3 linked regions of the Drosophila melanogaster genome follow. The protein of the gene in region 3 interacts with the protein of the main gene of each other region in a pairwise test. Each region holds a gene or a part of one and is shown on either strand. Other genes may lie near its edges.

Region 1 (4,084 bases), on a different chromosome or scaffold from region 3:
TTTTATAGTTCCTGAATCTTGACGTTCATACGGACAGACGGACATGGCCAGATCGACTCGGCTATTGATCCTGATCAAGAATATAAATACTTTATATGGTCAGAAACGCTCCCCCCCACTGCCTGTTACTTTTTAACGAATCTAGTATGCCCTTATACTCTACGAGTAACGGGTTATTAAAAAAGGGTTATTATTTGCATTTCAAATAATTCAAATACTGAAAGCTAATATAATTTCCAAAAGAAAAATACTAAAGCCTCAATGCATTTATATACAAACGCGTAGCTCTTATTTGTTTACGACTCGTTCAGTTGTCAATAGCAACGCAACGCATAGTAAGAAAGTATTACTTTGTTACAATCGCAATAAGATGGAAGAACTTCAAAAAGTTGGTGTGTTTATAGATGAAATTTACACGGTGCGAGTTGAGCATCCAAACCTTTCCAGTAGCAAAATAATGTTTAAACAAGAATGCTTCAACTACATTAAAGCATTCACTATTTTTAAAAAGTTTGTGTTTAATTATTGTAATATTTCTGAAACGTTTGCCAAAGATGTCGATAAGGAAAAACTACGCGCTATTGGTACTCAAAATCAATTAAAAACGGCATTTATTCAGCGCCAGAACAAGCAGCAAGTCTATCAATATGAGATATTTGAGCAAACAGTAGAACTTGAACGCTTAAAAGGCGAATTGCAGTTTTTACAGCGAATTGAAACGGAGCAACATGAAATAATAAACAATTTTTTTGTCAATCAATATTAAAATTAAATCTACGTATTTGTAGACGTTTTTCTTATTTTGTTGATATTCTTACGATAACATGTAAGACTACATAATGGAACATTTGTTGTTGAACAATTATATGTCTTGCGATTTTCACAACCGCTTACAAAGCACACCTGTGAAGGAGGAGGTGTACGAGGGAGTTGAACTTTTAAAGGATATTCGTAACCTGGGGGAACTATTACATAGTTGCCAGTTACAGCACTTATATAGGTTATTTTTGGATAAGAGGGCTGTTGTAAAGACTTATTGCGAATTGAAATCCGATCCCTGTTGGTTGCCTGTTTTTTTAACAACCGCTCCATTGTCTTTAATTTATCTTTTTCTCTGCGTTCGTCAGCTTGTTGTTTTCGTTTTTGAGATTTCAGAAGAGCTTTATGAATTTCCTCCGCAGTCTGCGGCTTTTCCTTTTCTTTATAACCACTTGGAAGAGCAATTAGCTCTTCTATAAATCCATTTATTTCGGAGTCCTGTGTCCGTTCATAAATAGCACGTTGACGTGCTGTCATAAGTTTGGGGTCCTTTATCTTTTTAAGTTCCTCATCAACAACGTCTAGTTTCCCGGTTTCTATGGCGGTAAGCCACCGATCCTCTTCACTGGACGTATCACTGTTGCGTCGTCTTTTACCTTTTTTAGCACCCGTGTGAGGCAAACTGTCATCATGTGCCAATTTTTTTGTGCTAATATTTCTCGTGCGTCTAAGAGGATGTTCATGAATATTTGAATTAGATGCAAGCGCATCTGTAGTGTAATGAAGTTCTTTAGGTCTCAACGAATTTGAAATAGACTCAGCAGATAAGTACTCTGCATCCTTAGAACCTATGAATAAAAAATGTTACTTTTTAAGATGTAACGTTTGGTGATTGATATAAATTACCTTCTTTCACCATTTCAATTGAAATACACTCGTCCTGTAGCAGCGGCCAATATTTTTGTTTGTTATGCTTAATTTTTTCAAATGTCCAAAAATTGCATTGGTCATACATCCACTACGATGCTTATAGCCTAATTCCACAAATGACATCCTTATTAAACGGCTGGGAAAATCGTGCAATCTCTCTGGCCACATAGTATAATGATTTTAAACTTATAATGATTATAATTATAATAATAATAATTATAATAATAATACTAAAAAAAATTTGAATTGTGCACAATATATTTTTGTATTCCCCTTCCTAAATGCATTTAAGCAATTCACAGAATACATAGCAAAACCATGGTTAGCGGTTGTGTTGAACCGATAACCGATGAAACTGAATAGTAACTAAATATCGTTCCTGATGTCGAGACTCCAATCTATGTGCACTTATGCACGCGAATTCAAATTCTGCATGAAAAGCGCATAAGTTGATAAATGAATAATGGATAAAGTTTAATAAAATTACAAATTATTTGAATTTTTGGTCGGGTAATGTTTAATGTTTTTTATGTTAGTGTCATTACAATCGATATGTTCGATTATTTTACTAAACTTTATATATATATATACTATACTATACTATATATATACTGTTTGTCAAGAAACTGTTTACACACCGTGAAATAAGTTGAATTTTTAACTTTAAAGGTCAAAATTAAGGGTTATTTGTTTAATTAAACGCAATTTTTTTATGAAATATAATTAAACAATATTTATTTTACTTATAAATTAAAAAACAAATTCAAAATATCAAATATACAAGAAAATAAACAACAAATTTCAAGTTTACACACTTTTGAGAGTGTAAAGAAACTATTTACACAAAACACTAAACCTAAGTTTAATCATAAATTTTTTAATTATTTTGTTAATATTTGAAAATTTTTAGTATTTAGTATGACCCCCATTGGCTTTGGCTACAAGTTGAAGCCTTTTTTTCATGGAATGGATGAGTTTTTTTAGGTCATATTCAAGCGGGATCTTTTCCCACTCTTCGACTATCGCAGCAATGAGATGTTGCCGTGTTTTGGGGCACCTTTTTGCCACCTTCTTCTTTAAGTAGGTCCACAAATTTTCAATGGGGTTCAGATCAGGACTCTGAGGGGGCGTATCGATCACCTTGCCACAGTTATAAAGTAGCCAGTTGCGTACATTGTACTCTTTATGTTTGGGATCATTGTCGTGATAAAACTTAAAATTTGGCTTGTTGTTGCTAAATAGACCACATTTTTCTGCACTGGCCTTCAAATTTGTTTCTAAAATATCTAGATATTGCACGGCATTCATAGTGCTTTCAATAAAGGCTAATTTGCCCACTCCATGGCTGGAAATACAGCCCCAAATAATCACTGACAATTTTCCAAATTTGATTGTTGGTATGATATTTTGTTTTTCTAGCGCACTCAACGGTTTGCGCCATACTCTGCTTGGCCCGTCGTTATAAAAGAGCATCATATTTGTTTCGTCACAAAATATGACGTCATCCCAGTACTCTTCCGCATGATCTATCATGCTGAATGACGCTTTTCAATATTGACCTCTGATAGCAAAGGCATTTTTCTTGCAACTCTTGAAGAGTACCTATGGTAGTAGGATAACGTGGTGCACAGTTTCGTGTGACACAGTTAGGTGATATTCTTCCCTGATATCCTGAGCAAGTGATCTGACCGAGATTCGGGGGTTCGCAATCACTTTTAAGGCAGTCTACTCGCTTGTTAATTTTGGTTTTCCGCCCATTACCACTCTTAGGTTCAAGCCTGCCCTCTTTTTCCGCACGATTTAAAATATTATAGACGGTCTTAGGTTGCCGTCTCTTGTTCGTTTGCATCCCTCGACTTCTCCTCCACAGGCAAAGTCCACCGATTTCTTTATGATGAATGGTGAAATTCTTTCGAAAGAGTTGTTGTCTTTCCTTTTGATAATTATAAATTTAGGTTCACCTAATTGCGATGGTATGTTTTTGAAGTAATTTTGTAAATGTTTGGTGGGTCTGTCATGATTGTTGGTTAAGAGCTTGAGCCCGGGTTGGCGGTATTGTTGTTGGTTTTATTTTATTTTCTCTTTGTGGTTGATATTTGTTTATCAAGATTTTGCTGATAAGGGTTTTGGGCTTACGCGAAGCCGGGCTTTAAACTGGGTGGCACGACTTATCTCTTCGGAGGTTGAAGTGGTACTGTTGTTTTGCATTATATTCATTGCCTCGTTTCTGTTTTTTTTTTATATCGCATCTATCTTCTCGTGAATCGAGCCGGTTGGGTGGGAGGTGTGGCCGTGGGACCCGTACGAAAAAAAAAGTAGAGCATCCATTGCTTGAAATTTTATAGTATTATAGCTGTTCTTAATAATTCTATTGACTTACAATACTATTCTGAGT
Region 2 (8,096 bases), on a different chromosome or scaffold from region 3:
ACCGATAGCAACTAGTGGCACTACTGATCTCACCAGAGGATGGTGACCGAATGCGTCTAGTTCTACGATCGAACTGAGTTTCTGATTTTCAGAGAGCAATATTTTCAGAGAGGTCGAAAAGCGAGACTAATTTGGAAAATTAGCAGCTCAGAGTATCATATTATTATCAGCTGCAAAACAGAGTGCGGCTTACCCGGCGTATACGTTATTTTACATCCCATTACTCGCAGTATATAGTTAATATTGCAATTATTTTAAAATGTCTTTTTCGAGATGTATAAGAAAGAATCCGGTCTGGTATTTAAAATTAAAAAATATATATATTTTGTATGAAATTCATTACAATGCATACTATGTTAGTCTTCAATCTTAATAGCTTGATTTTACGCTATATTAGCCGCAGAAAGTGAATTTAACCATTACTACTTGCTATTAGGAAATAATTTAAAAGGTCTTTCACCTCCCATTCTTTATATATCCACTTCCAATTCAGAAATGAAAAGACTTTCATCTTGAGATACACGAATACTAGAGTATTAAATAGTTTATTTAAGCGACTTTAAACATTCATAACATTCCTGCTGAAATCAAGAGTTGCTTCTCTTAGTGAGCTGATGAGAGGCTGGACTGGGAGCTGGGTAATCTAGAGCAGTTGCTGGATGGAGCGGGACATCTGATGGTAGTTTCGCTCCTTCCACTGAACATTGGTGAGCATGATCTCCAGTGTCTGTTGGATGGCCTGTTCCAATCCCTTCAGCGACTGACGGGAGTTGTTCACGAAGTCCTTGAACTCGTTGAAGTCGCTCAGCGTGATGACCTGCTCGGAAAGCGGTGAGAGTAGGCGGGACATGTCCTTGGTGAGCGGATGGTAGCTAAAAAAAAAAAAAACAGAAACCCTTAGCCGAGGTTCTATCCATCACAGATGCGAAAACTTACAACTTGTAGATGAAGTCGACGTTGTCCATGAAATACTTTTTGGCCAGCAGGAAGCCCACCTCATTGAAGGCCACCGCTTGGAAGGCCCACATCGAGTCCTGCTTGCGAATGGCCTCCTTGGGGTCAAAGGTCAGCTCCAGATAACGCTGCAGCAGCCACACTTCCCTCGAACAACCCAAAGCAGTCAGAATGGTGCGCTTCTCAGCCGCCACATTCGACTTCTTGTAACGCGTCCACAGGAATTCCCAATCCGAATCGGATCCGTGCTTTATGGAGGTGCAGTACACAGTGCTACGAACGTTGATCGGAACCGGATTCTTCTCGTCGGGATTAGCCTCCGCTCGCCAGTTGCGGTAGTAGGCCAGGGCCTGGGGCACACAATCGCCCACCTGGTACTGACACGCCCAGTTGACCACCATTGTCTTCAGCAGCACCTGATCCTGCTGCGGAATCGCGCTGAATGTGTCGTTGATGCCATTCAGGTGCTCGTAGATCGGCAGAATCAGCTTCTTCATGTAGCGCTGCATTGAGGATGAATAAATTCATTTAAAAGGACTTTAATAAAAGTTCATATACCCGGCATTTGTCAAATTATAAAATATCTAGTGCTATCTAGTCAGACTTACGACAAAGAACAACTGTCGGTGGGTTGCCCATGACAAGTTAGGTGTATAGATGAAGTTAGGTGTGAGCAATTTTGAAAGGATTGTTTCGAAATACAAATGAGAATGAGATTATACGGGGAGCACGTGGTAGAAGAGCATTAGGATACTTTAAGAGACCAGAACCCACCTTGAAGAACTCGAAATCGGGTGTCTGGCGGACAATGCGGCCCACACGCTTCAGATTCTCGAAGGCCGACTTCCAGGGCAAATACTCCCGCTCCCGCTGCAGATACTCGATCAGTCTCATGGCGATCTCGTAGTCCTGTTCGCCGGTCCAGGCCAGATATAGGGCATCGTCGATCAGCTGAGCTCGGTTGATCACGTGAATGCGTTCGAAATCTCCATTGGTCAAGGTCTCAATAAGAAGCTTCCAGTTCTGGGCATCGTAGTTGACCTTGTACAGCGTCGAGAGCTGCGTGTTAAAGATCACCCACTGATCGGGTCCTGGCAGGTCCTGAATGGTCTTGGGCAGGCTCTCGCCATTCTTGCCGCACTCCATCCAGGCCTTGGGTGCCGTGTTGTTGAAGTCCTGCACCGCCTGTGTGGTGTAACTCAGTGGCACCCACCAGCAACCGCCGCGATAAGCTCGGGCTACCTGGGTGTTCAGGAGATAGCGCTCCTGGTTGAGCTTGGCCGTCCTGGCAGCGTAGTCTCGCGTCACGTTGATCACAGGGTAGCTGTCAGAGAAAGGATATTTAGTGGTCATTCTTAACAAGCTTATCCTGCAAGGACCTACCCAGTTTGCAGGGTCCATGAGTCCATGATGCTCTTGATGTCATAGCTCTTGGGCAGAGATCGATACTTGTGAGCTGCCTGGGTGAGCGACTCCCAGAGATTGTCCTGCTCAGCATTCTTGTAGGAGAACTTCTGCAGATAGGCCTGCAGACCGGAGCGGAAGGACTCCTCGCCCAGGAACAAGTGCATCATGCGCAGCACCGTGGAGCCCTTCTGGTATGAGATCTGATCGAAGCTCTCCGAGATCTCCGACACCATTTGGATGGGTCTCGAGATGGGATGGCTGCTCTCCAGGGCGTCTCTGCGGAAAATGGTCAGCAGATTGGACAGCGACTCCTGCTCCATGGAACGCCATTCCGGATTGATATTCTCCACACCCAAACTGGCCACATAGGTGGCGAATCCCTCGTTCAGCCACAGGTCGGTCCACCACTTCATGGTGACCAGGTTACCAAACCACTGGTGCGCCAACTCATGAGCCACCACGCTGGCCACTCGTTGCTTATCCGCCAGCGAGGAGTGTGCCGCCGAGTAGAGCAGGGCAATCTCCCTGTAGGTCACCAGACCCCAGTTCTCCATGGCGCCGGCACTGAAATCGGGCACTGCAATCTGATCGATCTTGGGTAGCGGGAACTTGATGCCGAAGAACTGCTCATAGTATTGCAACACTTTGGGTCCGAACTGAGCGGCATAGTCGCACTGATCGATGGCATTGGGTCTGGCCCAAGTTCGGAATAGAGCGCTATTTGGCAGGGTGGAGGGCTTGTGCGAGAAATCGTTCACGGAGTAGGCAACCAGGTAGGTGGACATGGGCACCGACTCCTGGAACTCGCACCATATGTAGTCGGCGAGGGTTTCACTGGAAGAATAAAGTTAATGAAGTCTCTGTGGAAAGTTCTGAATGTTATGTGATGACTAACTGTGGCTTGGTTTCCTTCTCGGGCATGTTGCTTATAGCCGTATACTTCTTATGATATCCAAGGGTAACCACGAAAGGAGCCTTGAAATCGGGCTCATCAAAGCAGGGGAAGGCCAATCGAGCCGATGCCGGTTCAAACTGGGTAACCGAGATCCATCTGCAATAGGAAATAACCCATCAATACCTGGCTCTATGTCTTCATAAAAGTCTGCAAACGCACTTGGTAAGATTGGCCACGGGATCCTTGTAGGAGCTGCGGTAATAGCCCTCAAGTTGTCGGTTCAGGTCGGCGGCGAAGGGCATGTACAACTCGTAGGTGTTGCCGGCCAAAAGTTCCTGGCAGGTGTTGAGGATGTAGAAGTCATGGGATGGATTCACCGCCGTGGAGGACACGCAGTTCTCCTTCTTGCCCTCTCCGCCGATCTGGCGCAGGGTGATCTGGGACTCATCGATGGTCAGATTCTTGGAGTGCAGCGTTACGTTCTTGGTGTTTTCCAGGGCTTCGATCAGGATCTTTACGGAACCGGAAAAACGCAGGTCCTCCGGATTCTCCAGCAGTGTCAGAATGCGGAGATGGTACTTCTGCGGGCGCAGCGATGTGGGCAGGCGGTAGTAGTTGTAGGTGGTCTCGATGGAGTCGGCGGATGAGTCGGCGGTGGCTAATCCCAGGCCAAGGGCCGCCACGAACAGCAGAAACCACTTCATTACCAAAACTGTGGGGAAGAGCGGAAGGCGAATCACTTATTAGCGGGGCGCTCAATCAGAGCAAACTAAAGCAATTAACCAAATCACTTTGCCAAATCATAAACAGTGGGTATCCACTAACAGAAAACTCGGATAATTCTACTTAAAGTGTAATCAATTTGAATACAATTTATTCAAAACTTGGGCTTCGCTTTCTCTCGCCCAGTTAATGATAAACAATTATTTTTTTTTGAACAAAACACAATGGTTGACTGATGTCCACTGTATAATTCGCACCGCGCTTTTTGCTGCCTATGCGGTTTCGCTGATTTACTTCAAATTAATGCAAATTGTTTTATTTATTATGTTAGGATCGTTATGCCGGGCACGTATTAAGGTCTGGGCCAATGAAACCCGATTGAAACTCTCCTCACAATTGGCATTATGCGCTGGCTACCTGATAAATGTACATACTATATATATGTAGTTGATTAACTATGGCCCTTGCCAGGGGTACCAAATGAAATCGGAATATTTGTAGTTGATCAGCTGATCGAGTAAAGAATAAATATTCTGCCGTTAACTGCACATGGGAACTAAGAGAAACTGGTCTGTTTGTTTTAATATCTATAGTTGTATATCATAAATATAAGTTTACTTTTTAATACTATGCCTAAAAAACATCTATAAATCTTGGTTGCCTTCAAAGTTAGTTTATTATACTCATCAACTATATTCCCACGCCTTCACTTCGGCTTTTGAACTTTTTGTACAACGTTTAACTATTTTGTTAAGTAAGCACGCACACTTTAACACTTGAATACCTTGACGTAGTAACTGGGTATCTATTCCATACGGAATATCCCAAGGGAGCTAAGAAGGAAACCTGCAAAGGTTCTTGTACTGTACTGGATTAACCAGATTGCAATCCCTGCTGCTGGTTTTTATTTTTCTGGACTTCTTTCAGCTTCACTCTTAATTATGCAAAAGTTGTTCTCTTGGTTTGGCTTTCTGGGTTCTTTGGTTGCATATAAATAAATGTAAATGCGGGTCAATGAACTTTGCAGATTATCATATGATAACCAAATGTAGATTGGGTCCGCATAGAGAAAGTATAATCTAATATATGTTTTTGATCAGGTAAGTATCAATAAATAGTTCTGATCAATAAAAGTTCATTGAATTCATTGTTTTAGTGTTTTAATTAAATACAGGAAATACAGGAAGAAAACGTGAAAATAAATTCCCGAATCGAAAGACAATAAAACTGCCCGCTTGAAATTGAATTAAATACAATTGTTAACTTGTTGTGATTTCTCAAAAAATTTCAAACACGTGCTGCTGTGACATTGACCCATCAATTGATCCCTTCGAGTTAACTGGGAGTAAGTACAGCAGCGGTCAAGAAACTAGCTTCCAGAACATTGAATAATTTCAAAGTCAATAAAGCAAGTAAAAGTGCTTTGAAGTGCTAATACATGTGAAAGGTATTTTAAAGGTAATTATAATTTAATACAATGAGTTCAAAAAACTTCTTAATATGCACATTGATAATTTCTTTCTAATTGATAATTTCTTTCTAATTGATAATTTCTTTCTAATTTATAATTTCTTCCTGGATTTGCGGACTTTTGTCTTAACAGAGGACAGTTTTAATATAAAAAATATTCACTAAGAAGACGTAATGGAATTATTTTTGACAACACATTATTTATGGTGCACAGTTCAGCACTTAAACTTGTTTTTTCTTGGCTTTGGGTATATGTATGTACATATATTCTTTTGGTTTGTGTTCTTAACACACTTGTGTCACTCTATTCCTTTTTTCGGCACTTGTTTCGAGTGCGTAGTTGTACTTGTCTCGTGATTTCGGGGTCAAATCTGGCGTTCTTTTCTTTTTTTTTTTTTTTTGCGATTCAATTCCGTTCAAGCTGCACTCTCGAGGTGCTTGACACACAAAGATTGTTGGGACCAACCGTTGCCAGAGCCTCAGTCACAGCCACAGAAAAGCGAAAAAAACACACGCAGGAGTGCGACCTGTTCGACGGTCGACGCGAATCTAAAGTTTACTGAGCACGGCGCTTTTATCTTATACGATAGCCCGTGGTTACACCGCTCACCCATACAGATGGAAAAGCCGAAAGCCGAGAAATGGAGAGCCAGTGAAACGTCGACGGCTTAGAGATTGAAACGCTGCTTTGCGTCGGCGCAGAGAATCGCAGATTCAGTATGCTAGTTCTATCGTAGAGCATGCAATGTAGTTGAACAGCCAAGCAAAGGAGGTAAAAAAAACAATAAAAAAGGAAGAAAAAAACAGCACATGTGTGACCCACACGAAACGCACAGCGGGCGATTGCAATGAAATAATGGCAGGGCTTACCCGGCGTATGCGCAATTTTGATTCACGCTGCACACATACGCAGCGATGTCACTACGTGTTTTTGACCCTAATTGCGCTGATTAACCCATTTCTTTCTATTTCGTATGCCACTGGGCACTTGAGCCACTCGACCCTAGAGTTCACCCAGTCACTCAACCTGAAACACCCCCTACTTTTGGACCACCCCCCGTGGCGGAAGCGCCGAAGATAAGGGGCCACAAAAAGTGGCAAAAAACAAACCATAATAAACCAAGTGCAGACGGACAGACAAACGCAGCATGCGGGCTCACAGGAGGGGCTTTAGCGGGTTAACCCTTTGGGGAAAGCCTCATATCTAGGTCACCGATTAAAGTATTTATCAAATTTTGAATGTTTTATTTATACATTTACTTGTTGGTTCGAATTAACTTTGATTATTTGAATTGCTAATTATAATTTATTATATTTACTACATGCCAGTCTTCAGAGGGTTAATTTGGCATGGAAAATGGCATGTAACTCGAAATATTACTGCGGCTAGGGCCCTGCCTTTGGCTAATTGCCACAAACCTCGTTTGGCTTTCATCCACACTTTTTTTGAGGATTAAAGATTTGATAGTTTTAAGGAGAAATTGAAATGGGTGTGAAAGGGAATTGGAACATAAGCTATAAACGAAAATAATCTGCTTTATTTACTGAAATTCGATTATCATAAGCCGATTTTCGGAAAGTGTTAGGCTTTGCCTTCAATTTATAGAACAAGTTAACAAATTTAAAAGAGTATTTGTATATCGTATGCGTGGGTTTAAAAAAAAAAGCATCACGTGTCCATCTCTAATTTAAAGAAATATAAAGTGACATACAAATTTTCGTATAACAGTCTGCCAAAAAGTCGCCGCTGTTATACTCAATTTTTTACGGACACAGCGCCCTCTGACATTTACAAAGTGCAACTACTCGCTTTGCGCGCCAATTTCAAGTTGTTAATTCTGTGAAAACCCATAGAGTACCGAAATCCCGCACATAATGCGCATTTGGCGCCATTTGAATGATAAAAATTCCAGGAATTTCAGTTCTTTTTCGTCGTGTATTAATGTATATTTAAAATTGATGGTCTTTGTTCAATAATATTGCCTTTTTTGATGCAAAAATAAGCTTTGCTTAAATAATAATCATTACATGGTAAAATATTTGTTTTCTTGTTTGCATTTGCGTTTCGGTGCCTTGTTGTTCGGTTACGGATTACATAAAAATAAACAAATAATAAGCGTAAATTGTACCTAGCAGAAGTTTACAACTTTCAACTCTTAAACGATAGATCTTATAAATAAAGTTTTATGGATGAAATTAATGAGCGTGTTTGTTTTTGTGTGATATTTGTTTTCTTTTTTTTTTTTTGTTTTTAGCCATTTTTTGTTCTGCTTATCATCTACAAATGATTAAGGGGTCTGATTTCGGGATCGGCCTCTTAAATTTAAATGACATGGTTCCTCACGTTTTTAGATTATAATGCACATTTTTCGTTTGCTTGTTCGTTGGTTATCTTTAAAATTTGAACTAGAGTGCTTAAATAATTGAACTAAAGCCGAAACCATAAAAACAATAATAACTAAACAAAAGCGTTAAATTCCAAATGAAATTGTCTGTTTTGCATGAATGCGAGTGTCGGGTGTGTGTCTGCGTCGTGTGCGAGAAACTTAGTCTACGGATTAACAAATGAAAATCAACAAAAATCAACTTAAAAGCAGCATGAAATAAATACCCCTATACGTCTATATATACAATACGATAACACCCA
Region 3 (3,135 bases):
TACCCTTATCTACTTTATGCAAACATTTTTATTGTAAAACGTTTAAAAATTATGTCCAGGCAAGAAAATTTTCTATTAATGCGATGACCGCTTTTATGGAACTCAAGTTATGTTTCTTTTTAAAATGAAGAAAAATATTCTTTCTACCGTCCTATTTAGCATAATATTATATTCCAAGATTTACAATTACAAAAAGAATTCATACATTTTTGGACATCTATTTTTACGTACATTTTTTTTTTAATTTCACCATTATTTATAAATGTTAATATAATGTCTTCCGATCCAAAGATAATTTTGTGCCGCGTAGAAGTTATGAAATCCAGAGCTCTCGATAATATTTGACTATTGCTTGCATTCTATAACCAAGCAAAGCTGCACTCTTTTCTTTGAATGAACTCTGTTTTACAAGTCATTCATTCTTTGACATATGTTTACAGTTCAGATCCCCGATCACGTAGGTCTCAAACACGACAGGTGACACTGTCAGATCTCCAAAGACTTCCAGTAAATAACGCAAAACACCCAAGTAGAACGAGCAATAGTTTTGGCTAATATATTTTATTTACGTGTAGCCACGATATTTATGCAACTCTTGCAGGCTAGTCAAGGCATTTGTTTGGATTCCGTTTCCGATTTCGATTTCCGAGTGCGGTTCAGCGGCGGTGGTGGCCTTGGCCAAATTGCCACCCATGACCACGAATCCGATGCCGGCGCCCGCCTTGTAGCTCAGCTCATGGTAGCCAGCCTCATCGTAGTAGGAGTACTTGCCCAAAACATTTCCCGCCTCATCGGTGTGCTGGGCATGCGACATCTGGTCGGTGCTGAAATCAAAGTTTTGCTGGCTTTGCCGGTGCTTCAGGTGGTTGGTCGATGCTAATTGGTAGCCCGCACTCAGCGAAGATGTTGCCACTGCTAGGTTATCCTGTGTATTGTAGGAAATCCGGGAAAGTGGATTCTGTCTTGTCCTCAGAGATTGATGCACAAAGTTCAGCGGACCAAAGGAATCCAGAGAAGATGCCCCAAAACTAGGCTTAACGACACTCCTATCCAATCTATCGCCATCCGTGTTGTAGGAGTATCCTTGTCCATTGAACTGCATATACACTTGCGCTCCTTGAGCACAGGAAACTATCAGCGAAGCAATGAAAAGCACCAACATCATGTTCAAGTCTCAGAAACAACTAAACTCCGAGCATGCTAAGTCATGGGGTTATATGTGGATTCAAGGAAACCGCAATGTGCAGATTAACCTGCTTATACCCGGATCCACGGATATCAAATAACTATTCGCTAGAGATACAGATACAGTTTGAGATACAGATACAGGCAAAAAATGTATTCCGCTTTAAATACTGTTTTAGTTTCCATGTGGAGTCAACCCAGTTTCGGTTACTCAACACTGATCACTTAGAGCTACGCACTACAAACTACAGATCTACAGATCCAATGGGTGCTTAGTGCTCCCTTGAGGCATTCAGCTCGGCGATCTCATCCTGACGCAGTGCCTCCGACGGCGAAAGTCCGATCCTTCCGCCCAAGGGTATTATGTCGATGTTCTGGACATGGGCACGCACACTTTGACCAGGCGGCAGGCCCACGTACCATTTACCCACGTTCTTGATGACGGTGGAGTCGCGGTGTCGCTGCACCCACTCCCGATCCCTGTCGATCTCTAGAATTCGGTGGTTGGCGGTGACCAGAGGAGGCAGTGAACTGCCCACATCGTCATCGTTGAGGTGGTAATTGTCCCCGGGTCCGCTCATGGCACTGGTGCCCGATCCACCTGTGGGCGGCAGGTAGCCCAGGCCGGAGTCGCCTTCCCTGGAGGCTCCAGCTCCACCTCCTCGACGACTGCTTCCACCACCGGCAGCACCTCCCCTTCCTGCTCCCCGCTCAGAGGAGACACTTACTCCACCAACGCCGCCGAATCGGTTTCTGTTTCGGGACCCACTAACATTGTTTCTCGTGGAGCTACCTGAACCACCTCTCTGAGAGCTGTCACCTCCGGCATCGTATCTAGTACTGCCCCGTTGCGGACTACCCGCAGGGAACCCTCTTCTGTCTTCTTTGCCATTAAAGTTGGTGGAACCAGAGGAGCTGCTGCCAAGCCCAATGTCATCCCCTTGGTCATCAGCATGGTGTCCCAGATTTTCATCAGCTGCCCCAGCATCACCATCTCCACGATTCCTATCTCTTGCTCCATCAGCCGGCTTTAGGTAATCTTTGCCTCCGGGTCTGCTTGGAGTACGGCCCCTTCCCGCTCCACCTGCACCACCACTTGGCCCCGAAGCTCCTACCGAAACACTTCCCCCACCTGATCCACCACCACCTCCCTTCGGACCTAAGCCACCACCAGCACCCCTGCCAAAATCATTAGCCAGTCGGAAATCTGGATCTGTCAAACGAAAATCAGCCACAGAGGGATTGTTATGGGTTCCAGGACCAATCCGATTTTGCACCACCCGGTAGCCAATTCCTGCTCCAGCTATATACTCCACTGTCCGCTGCACGCCCTTGTCGTCCAGGAAGGAGTAGGTTCCTCGCACCAGGCCATCGGGTGCTCGACTTTCTGCCCGTCGGTGATCCGAACCTGAGGCGATCAGCTTATAGCTTCCAGCCGGCCCCCTTTGCACAGACATCTTGCCGCGTGCTTTGGGATGGGACGTGTACAGAGGACTGGAGTACGCCACAACAGATGGGCTGTCCGGCACAGCGTTGGAGATCTCGAATCCGGTTCCGGCTCCAGCTGCATAACGAACACTGTGCCGCTCGCCCACGTCGTCCAAATAGGAGTACAGACCTGGGATAGAATCAGTTAATATACTCTTAAGTACCATACTCGCTAAACTCGCCTCTTATCCTATTCCCGGAATCATTCTCCTCGCTGCGCGACTGATCCGGAGTGCGAAAACTAAAGCTGTAGGATGGATCGTCGAAGGGATCGGCCAGCGGATCGTCCGGACTTCCCCGCGGCAGTACCGGATACTGAGCCAGGTCCATTTTCCGATGGATTTTCGGTCCGTTCACGCGAAATCTATGTGGGAAATAGAGGGAGATTAATTAGCTACCGACACAATGAGTGGGGATTGGGTAAACCCTTTCAGCGGAAGCGGACTTGCACTGCAATTTTGA

Evidence for each region. Proteins that work in one complex are often made in the same cells at the same time.
Region 1: the proteins of CG13022 (region 3) and CG10395 interact in a two-hybrid assay, tested with the Drosophila melanogaster proteins (one large-scale study listed by BioGRID).
Region 2: the proteins of CG13022 (region 3) and SP1029 interact in a two-hybrid assay, tested with the Drosophila melanogaster proteins (one large-scale study listed by BioGRID).

What each region holds. Positions count from the first base shown.
Region 1 is NT_033778.4:5,348,403-5,352,486, reverse strand, and holds CG10395 (uncharacterized protein), read right to left. Parts: upstream 2,011-4,084; 5' UTR 1,679-2,010; coding exon 1,666-1,678; intron 1,608-1,665; coding exon 775-1,607; 3' UTR 767-774; downstream 1-766. Other genes in the region: IFT20 (intraflagellar transport 20), read left to right, coding at 371-766.
Region 2 is NT_033777.3:29,244,447-29,252,542, forward strand, and holds SP1029 (SP1029), read right to left. Parts: upstream 6,006-8,096; 5' UTR 5,916-6,005; exon of another isoform or gene 5,744-5,915; intron 5,059-5,743; 5' UTR 4,764-5,058; intron 4,459-4,763; exon of another isoform or gene 4,237-4,458; intron 3,969-4,236; 5' UTR 3,961-3,968; coding exon 3,476-3,960; intron 3,413-3,475; coding exon 3,257-3,412; intron 3,196-3,256; coding exon 2,338-3,195; intron 2,279-2,337; coding exon 1,729-2,278; intron 1,458-1,728; coding exon 937-1,457; intron 873-936; coding exon 644-872; 3' UTR 515-643; downstream 1-514.
Region 3 is NT_037436.4:16,937,781-16,940,915, forward strand, and holds CG13022 (uncharacterized protein), read right to left. Parts: upstream 1,173-3,135; 5' UTR 1,163-1,172; coding exon 566-1,162; 3' UTR 550-565; downstream 1-549. Other genes in the region: Cpr73D (cuticular protein 73D), read right to left, coding at 1,458-2,803, 2,856-3,037.